2 linked regions of the Rattus norvegicus genome follow. The protein of the gene in region 1 interacts with the protein of each later gene in a biochemical or structural test. Links are inferred from orthologs where the notes say so. Each region holds a gene or a part of one and is shown on either strand. Other genes may lie near its edges. The genes, in order: Loxl1 and Fbln5.

What was found.
Region 2: the proteins of Loxl1 (region 1) and Fbln5 form a complex in vitro, tested with the Homo sapiens proteins (2 studies listed by BioGRID and IntAct). The link is inferred for Rattus norvegicus from reciprocal best matches to the Homo sapiens genes LOXL1 and FBLN5.

Annotation. Positions count from the first base shown.
Region 1 is NC_086026.1:67,609,240-67,613,505, reverse strand, and holds the start of Loxl1 (lysyl oxidase homolog 1 precursor), read left to right. Parts: upstream 1-1,281; 5' UTR 1,282-1,603; coding exon 1,604-2,807; intron 2,808-4,266. UniProt on the Homo sapiens protein: Catalyzes the oxidative deamination of lysine and hydroxylysine residues in collagen and elastin, resulting in the formation of covalent cross-linkages, and the stabilization of collagen and elastin fibers.
Region 2 is NC_086024.1:126,739,736-126,744,072, reverse strand, and holds the start of Fbln5 (fibulin-5 precursor), read left to right. Parts: upstream 1-1,366; 5' UTR 1,367-1,591; coding exon 1,592-1,608; exon of another isoform or gene 1,609-2,056; coding exon of another isoform or gene 2,057-2,112; intron 2,113-4,337. UniProt on the Homo sapiens protein: Essential for elastic fiber formation, is involved in the assembly of continuous elastin (ELN) polymer and promotes the interaction of microfibrils and ELN. Stabilizes and organizes elastic fibers in the skin, lung and vasculature.

The sequences.
Region 1 (4,266 bases):
TGTAGGAATCCAGACACATGCTGGATCTAGGGTGTCACAGGCAAGTGTGCTATTACAAGTCCCCACGTCTCTGGCTAGATTATAGATATCCAGTGTCCCGAAACACATAAATGAAGTATCAGTCCCGGAAAACAGTGCAGTGGGTCAATAAACGCTTCCTGGTAAGAATGGAGGGCAGAGGAGTCCTTGTTCCCAAAGAGTATCATTCTGGCTGTTTTCCTCCTTAAATGGGGTCTAGGAGTTGTCCAGCATGAAGACAGGTACTTCCTGTCTGGTTTAAGGGGTAATCTTTGCCCTCCAACTCCCAAGGCCACAGCAGAAGACAGCCTGGGGGGTCTGTAGAGCCGTGTTTAGAATGTAACTTTTCAGGTACCAAGTAAAAGTTGAAACTTCTGGGACCTTTCTTATTATCCCTGTCATCCCCAGAGGGAACAGAGAATCAGCCAGAACAAATGGAGCTCTGTGGAATAATCTCCCAATGATCAAACGTGTCTACTAAATCAGAGTTGGAAGGAGCGTAAGATTCCCAAGTTCCCCCTCTTGGACGCTGCTTTATGTTAAAGGTTCCCCTTGCCTATCCCATATCCACCTGCTGGCTTCATCTTATCCGCGTGTCTACTCAGATCCCTTCTGACTATCAACTCAGGAAGCCCAGGACAGAAGCCACTGGGGGTGACTGATGTCCGCATCTACCATGAGCTCCCAAGTCCTGTTCAGCCCAGAGACATACCCACTCCAGTTAGTCTCCATGCCTGTAGGCTGAGACCTGGTAGAAGAGCTGAGGGCTCACTGTCTTTGTACTCAGGACCAAATGCTAAATGTCCTCGGGATGCACAATTACAAGGTGGCCCCAGCTAGAGGTGGGCTCAGGGAGGCTCATCAACAAAGATGCCTCTTGCTTTGCAGAAGCCGGAAGGCACCCCAAGAGCCCTAGGAAGAGGTGAAGTCAATGAAGAAAATAGAATTTAAAAAAAAAAACTATCCAGGGCTGAGTGGAACCAGCAGGGTAGTGCCCACATCTTAATCCTGCTGTGCTTGCCAGAAACCCCACTTACCAGGCCTGAGTCCCCAGGGGCCCCCTCCAACTCCCTGCCTCATTCCCTTCCTCCTAAGCAGGTCTGTGGCTTGGCTGGAAGCTACTAGGACTGAGGGAGCATTGCTCTGTGGGACAGGCCACATAGCTAAAACCCGGCGGGCCATAGGGCCCCGCGGAGGAGGCCCCAGCAGGCGGACCAGGTTTCTGAAACCTCCAGACACTTCCAGCCTGTTGCTTATTCATTCAGAGTGGGAAAGCGCCAGCCTAGAGAGCAGCCAGCCAGTGTGGGGTTGGCCATGTAAGGGCCCCAGGAGGTCCTGCCCGTCCCGTGCCCTGCGGAAAGCCTCGTGCAGCCCTGGGCACCGCCCCTGCCCTGCCCTGACCCCTTGGCCTCAAAATGCTGTCATCGGAGGAGCCGTCCCGCTCGGGACAAGGCCAGGATGGACAAAGCTAGAGCTTGGGCAGGCGAGGAGCCATCCTGTCCTCGAGGCCGTGGGAAGAGAAGCACGCACCGGGGCCCACTCCTGAGAGCCTCTCCGCCCACCCGGCCTCTGCAGAAGGGCCACTATGGCTCTGGCCGGAGCCGGCAGCCAGCTGGGGACCCTGGTGTGGGGAGCCTGCCTGTGCGTCCTGGTGCACGGGCAGCAAGAGCAGCCAGGACAGGGCTCGGACCCAGGACGCTGGCGGCAGCTGATCCAGTGGGAGAACAACGGGCAGGTGTACAGCTTGCTCAATTCGGGCTCTGAGTACGTGCCTGCGGGGCCCCAAAGAGGGGAGAGTAGCTCCAGGGTGCTACTGGCAGGCGCGCCCCAAACGTCGCAGCGGCGCAGTCAGGGAGGACCCCGGCGTCGGCAGGCGCCGAACCTGCCCCTGCCCGGACGCGTGGGTTCGGACACTGTGCGCGGCCAAACGCGGCACCCGTTCGGCTTCGGCCAGGTGCCAGACAACTGGAGAGAGGTGGCCGTCGGGGACAGTAACGGGATGGCTCGGGCCCGCACCTCCGTCTCCCAGCAACGGCACGGGGGCTCCGCCTCCTCCTCGGTTTCGGCCTCGGCCTTCGCCACCACTTATCGCCAGCCATCCTCCTACCCGCAGCAGTTCCCCTATCCGCAGGCGCCCTTCGTGAACCAATATGAGAACTATGACCCCGCGTCGCGGACCTATGAACAGGGCTACGTGTACTACCGCGGTGCGGGCGGAGGCATGGGCGCAGGGGCGGCGGCGGCAGCTGTAGCCTCGGCTGGGGTCATCTATCCCTTCCAGCCCCGGGCACGCTACGAGGAGTACGGCGGTGGGGGCGAGGAACAGCCCGAGTACCCGGCGCAGGGCTTCTACCCAGCCCCAGAGAGGCCCTATGCGCCCCAGCCCCAGCCTCAGCCCCAACCTCAGCCGCAGCCTCAGCCCCAACCTTCCGACGGCCTTGACCGTCGTTACTCGCATAGCCTGTACAATGAAGGCACCCCGGGATTCGAGCAGGCCTACCCTGATCCCAGCACCGACGTGTCGCAGATCCCCGCCGGGGCCGGTGGCACCTACGGTGCCGCTGGCGATCCCCGTCTCGGCTGGTACCCGCCCTATGCAGCCAATGTGCCTCCCGAGGCCTATGTCCCTCCGCGTGCGGTGGAGCCGCAGCCCCCATTCCGCGTGCTGGAACCACCTTACTTGCCTGTGCGAAACTCTGATGCGCCCTCCCAGGGTGGGGAGAGGAACGGTGCCCAGCAGGGCCGTCTCAGCGTGGGTAGTGTGTACCGACCTAACCAGAATGGTCGCGGTGAGTACAATCCACGAGCGCTTTGGTTCGACATTCTGGACACTGGTGAATTGCTGCCTCAGGGGTACAGACCCCGTGTTTCTTACCAAAGGCCTCCCAGTAGTTGCTGAGCAAAGACTCTTTAGCTGACAGCCCCAGTGTGCCTCTCTCTTCCTGAATCCACCCATTCTCCATCAGGGTCAAAGGCCTACCCGGTAGGCCTGTGTTTTGACTCTGGCTTGGGGGAAATCGTGGAAGGACTAGCCAAGTTATAAGAAGTACTTTGCGGATCTGGCGGAGGTCATCCAGGGACAAGTGGGGAAAGTCTTTCTCCCCTGCTTCTCCTTCTTCCAGTCAGGGAATCTCTTTAACACTCTTAGAAACCCCCCTATGCCTGTGCATAGAATGAGGCAAGGATCATGGGAACCTTGAACCTTCAGGGTGAAGAGGCCTTAAGGATGATGCTTTTTGAGGTGCAGCAGCAGTGTCCCCCGTACTTGGACCTCTGTGAGCTAGCTAGCCGCTGGTGAGGTAAGTAGGCAGTCAGAGAGCAGCACTTGAACAGACAAAAGTTTCAGACCCCTGAGGGGATCCCGCAAGGCTGGGATGCCAAGGCCCACTAGCCAGGGCATAAAATTCAACTGAGCACTAAAAAAAAACAAAAAAACAAAAACAAAAAAAACCTGGATAATGAAGATAAGTTCTATTTCAGTGCATTAAAAATCTCTTATGAACAAATATGTCCACATTTTAAACAGACTCGGTAATGTTTCCATAACCCGAAGCAAACTGAAAAATCAATACGGGCCGTTTCTTTATTTGAAACGGGATATTTGTTCATTGCAGATTTTTTTAATTGATTTTGTTTTTAAACACACCGCGTTAAATATTACTGCTCTTGGGCACTGCACTTCATGATGTTCTGTAAAACATAACCCAGGCCAGTGTACCTCACTTTAGTCTTGGCTCTGAGGGGAGAGACCCAGGAAATGTCTGGAGACAGGCCACCCTCTGGCTTTCCCCAGGGATGAAGATAGGACCTATTCTAGGGAAGGCCATGTCATCTGCACACAAGGGTCAGGGTGGAGCGCTCTTCCTCTGCCAGATGGGCAGCTTCCACATGTGCTGTTATTGTGACAGGGGCCAACTGTTGCGTCTGGCCAGTGCTGGGTGGCCATCGGCCCATCCTCAGCTGTCCTAGAATCCCCTTGCTGATGCTGTCCATCCAGAGCTGTCTGCTCTCTGGTCAAGCTTTCCACTGAGTTCTCAATGCACACACAGCACACCCCGGGGCAGCACTCACTGTCCACAATCCCTTCTCCATACCAGGGTTGCTACCACCAGGGCTGTCGGGTGAAATTGAGCCTTTGGGACCCAAAGGTGCTGGTGTCCCGCCCAGCCTTGGCTGCTCAGCCTCTGTCAGCACTGAATAATGATTTCTCCAGCCAAGATGGCCTATCTGAAGGGCTGCTGTATGGGG
Region 2 (4,337 bases), on another chromosome or scaffold:
ACTGTCAGAACTATAAACTATATTGGAAAGCCTTCAAAATCAGTGTATTAGGAGCCTCTGGCATTTCGAAACGTATTACAGCACAACATCATGGAGTCCGAGTCTGTGTGCCTTGTCGAAGCACCTTGGTCAGAACTCAGCTCCCGCCAGTCCTGCCTTTGAACCTTACGTAGACAGAGCTGGCCCGTGTGCACACTTAGGTGTCTAGCTATTTTGAATGGTTACTCTCATTCATTTCTCCACCTGAATCTCTTTATTTCGCCCCCTTAGGGCAGTACTGGTGAACCTTAAAGATTCTTATAATCCTACTTATTAGAACAACGGGAGGGATGTACCATCTCCTGAATGAGATGAACCTAAATATAGTTTAGTCTTAGACATTTCATACACCCATAGGAAATAGATCGGGTCAATTGGATTCCGAGCTTCAACAGCATCAACGTCTGGCTGGCTGCTCTTGTCCAGTCTAATGAGATTTTAGAGTAGGAGTCCATTTCCTCAAAACAGTGTCGTTAGAAAAGAGTACATAAAGATGCAGACTTCAGAGGCTTGACGGCATCTCTGAGAGACGTGAGCCAGTGGGGAAGTCACTCAACCCCTTTTATTCTCACCTCCAAGGAAGTGGAGCTAGTTTCTAGTGCACAGAGGCATGGTAAGGGAGGGAAACTCTTCCCCTGTGCTCTCTAAACTGTAGGTCAGGCAGTTGAGGGTCCAAGAGAAGGTTCAGGCAAGGGAGGGCTTGCAGTGTAGTAGCCCCGTCCTGTCTTTTGGAGAGCAGTGTCTTTGGCATTTTTGCACTCGATAGGGGGTTCCAGAGCTAGAAAACAAAGGGGAGGGAGGACTTCCAGAGTCCTTGTGTAACCCACCATTCTTAGGCTTTCTCGCCTTTAACTTTTTACAAACCGCCTTTCTACACACAGCAACTAAAAGCCAAGGAGGACGAGGTGAAGGCAGCCAGAGATCTCAGCCATCGCTTGCTCTCCTTCAATCTCCCTGTTCTTCCCGGATCCTCCCTTACCCCACATCCTTGCTTAGGTATCGCGCTTGTTCCAACCCTGGCTTTAAGCCTCGGGTTCCCAACTGCTCACATCCCTGAAGCCGCTTTGGTGGTGAGTTCAAGTTCCTGCTGCCACAGGGCCTGATGACACGCCCCCTCGCACGCGCCCCGCTCCGCCCCGGGGAGGCCCGGCGCCCCTCAGCCCCGCTCTCCCTCTGCTGGGCTCCCCTCCCAGCACCGAGCACTTGGCCCTGGCAGACGCCCCAAGATTGTTGTGAGGAGTCTAGCCAGTTGGTGAGCGCTGTAATCTGAACCAGCTGTGTCCAGACCGAGGCCCCATTTGCATTGTTTAACATACTTAGAAAATGAAGTGTTCATTTTTAACATTCCTCCTCCAATTGGCTTAATGCTGAATTACTGAAGGGGGTTAAGCGAAACCAGGTGCCGGCGGCGAGGGCTCTGCAGTGGCTCCCAGCACCCGGCACTGTCCCCGGCCCTCCGCGCAGCCCCGTTCGGCCCCTCGGAAACCAAGCTGCCCGGTCCCGCGCAGAGCCTGCCTTCCTCAAATCACCTCTCCTCCCGCGCATCTTGGATATGCCAGGATTAAAAAGGTAGGTTGGAAGGCGCCAGGAACTGTCTCCAGGCTTGAGAAACCTAACTCCAGACCTGATGGGTGGAAAATGGCTATGGCTGAGATTCCGCCTGTGTCAGGGCACTGGAAAAGACTTTTAGCAAGTGATGCAATGACCCTGTTAATTACAAAAAGCTGCGCTCATCTCGAAGTCTTGGTTTGGGAGTGGGGATTTTTCTAACAGCATCAGGAGTCAGCATCTCGAGAGAGGCAGCAGACAGCCTCTTTGGATCATTTCTCTTTCTTTTTGGAAAGGGCAGCAACGCTGTGCGCAGTTATTAAAATATCACACTACATATTTTTTAAATTTGGGAGACTGTTGACTACGGCACCAGCAACTGCTTTGCTGCGACGGCTGTGGGACAAGCAGAAGGAGTCTCCGAACACTCCTGTCTGCGTTTGCTCTATGTGTGCGATTTACAGAGGGAATGGGACCTAGAAGTTTCGAGCCAACGAACAGTGGACACTGCAGACAGAGACGCATGTAAGCAAATGTTTTGCTGTTCTTTGCGGAAATTGCAATTCCAGTCAAGTAATCCTTGAGCCTTGAGGAAGTTTAAAGATGACATCTGTCCTCCCCTTCTCCAGTGCCTCTTGAAAATAGAGCTGCCCTGCACAGACCTACACACTTTCTCTGTGTGTGCTTGCATGTGGGAGGGGTGCATGCATGCTAACACGCATACGAACTGAGCCATATTATGGTAAGACATAGTTAACATTATCATCCCGAATCGCCGACCAGCAATGTCTGTCATTGACAGGCACTTGGAGGCTCTGTCCTCTTCCTCCTCCTCCTCCTCTTCCCCCTCCTCCTCTTCCCCCTCCTCCTCCTCCTCCTCCTCCTCTCCCTCCTCTTCTTCTTTTGGATGGTGAACCCAGATTCAAAAGAAAAGTTTGAGACAGAGTTTCTCCTCTCCAGTATTAATTTTGCTTCATTTTTGGTACGATTTTTTTTCTGCAAAGCCTCTCTATTAGCCTGGAGATTATTTGGCCCCCGCTCTTCCAGGAGGCTGGGCTTGGGGCTGGCCAGCCCTGGGCTGGCTTTCACCAAAAGGAACAGAGAGTGGGGTAGGGGAGAAGCCGGTAGGGTTAGCACGCCTTTTCCAGTCTCTCTTGAGCTGTACTGCATGCAGTCAAGCTGCTCTGTCTCCAACATAAACGAGACAGGATTTTATAACCACCTGAAAGGAAACTTCATGAGAAGAAACAGGAAAACATTGAAATTCATAATCTACAGCCTGGAAAATGAATTTGTTATTGTTCTCTTATTCCTTCCAGATATAAAGTCTGGCTCTCACAAATATCCGAAAAGCCCAGGGATTTGGCTCTGTACTTTATAAGGTCAGAGCTGTCTCCAACGTTGGAGAACCTGGCTCACTCACACAGGCGGTTAAATGAAATGAAAACCTGTCTACCCAGGATTGGATCTGGGACTCCGTGAGGGAAGTGGGTTTGCGTCTTCCAGGACCACATCGGACTCAGTTTTGTCTGGGTGCCTAGGTGCTGCCTTCACTCCGCGTCTTCTACGTACCTACTGCTATTTCTCCGCTCGCTGCGGGTTGGGATGTCAGTGAGCTTGGGGTCTACTGAGCACTCGTTCTGCAAAGGTGGGGGCTGTAGAGCCATGGCGCTGGGTGGGTAAATAGTAAGCCTCCGGTTCACAGCCGTGCTGAGAAACATGCAAGATCACCACCCTCCAGGAAGCTTCCTCTGCTGACTCTTGACATTCTTATCAAAGCAAAACTGTACTCCTGGCCCATGGCACAAAGCAGCGAGCTCAGGTGAATGGCAGCTGGACCACAGCTCTGTGGCTCTCCTGCCCAGTATCTGTGTTGTAAGCTGTAGTTGCAAGATGAACAGTGTGCTAACAGACTTGACCGTCTGCAGAGACTTCACATTGTCTCTATCTTTCCTGCATTAAGTGCCCATGTTGATAGTGTTCCATAGGCTCCCTTGGCTATATGCCCAGGTTCCATGCATGACTCTTTAACCTGCAAAATAGCTCTTGTACCATACTCTGTGTTGTGTGGTGCACACCTGTAACCCCAGCATTTGGGAGGTAAAGGCAGGAGACAATCAGGAGTTCTGAGCCAGATTTGGCTGCATAACCAGTTTGAGGCTAGCCTGGGCTGCATGAGGCCCTGTCTTAAAAAAACAAAACAAAACGAAAAACAAAAAAGAGGCCAGCAGAAGTGTCTTGTAATCCCAATACCCAGGGAGCCGAGGTACAATTGCCCCAAGTTTGAGGATACTGGACCATATTGATGGTTGTAGGTTAGCCTGGGCTACAGAGTGAGAGCTTGTTTCAAAAAAAAAAAAAAAAAAAGGCACAAGCCCCAAGCCACAAAAGAAAACAACTTAAAGAAATCCTTTACCTATTAAACACCCCCTCCCTGCCCCAGAAGCTCACAACCTGGAGCCACCATTTTTCTTTCTGAGTCTGAAAGTTCTGGGGTACCTGATGTAAGTTGAATTCTATGTGTTTGTGACCGTCACTCTTCTCACTATGACGTCCTCATGGATCATCAGTGTTGCTGCTCCTGTTTTTTGTTTTGTTTTGTTTTAATTACATTTATTTATTTACTTGAGGGGAAGCATGTGTTGCTGTGCACGTGTGGTGGTCAGAGGACAACTTTCAAAAGTTGGTTCTCTTTCCATTCCGTGAGTCCTGGTGATCAGGTTGTCGTTTTGAGGTCAAGCTCCCTCGCC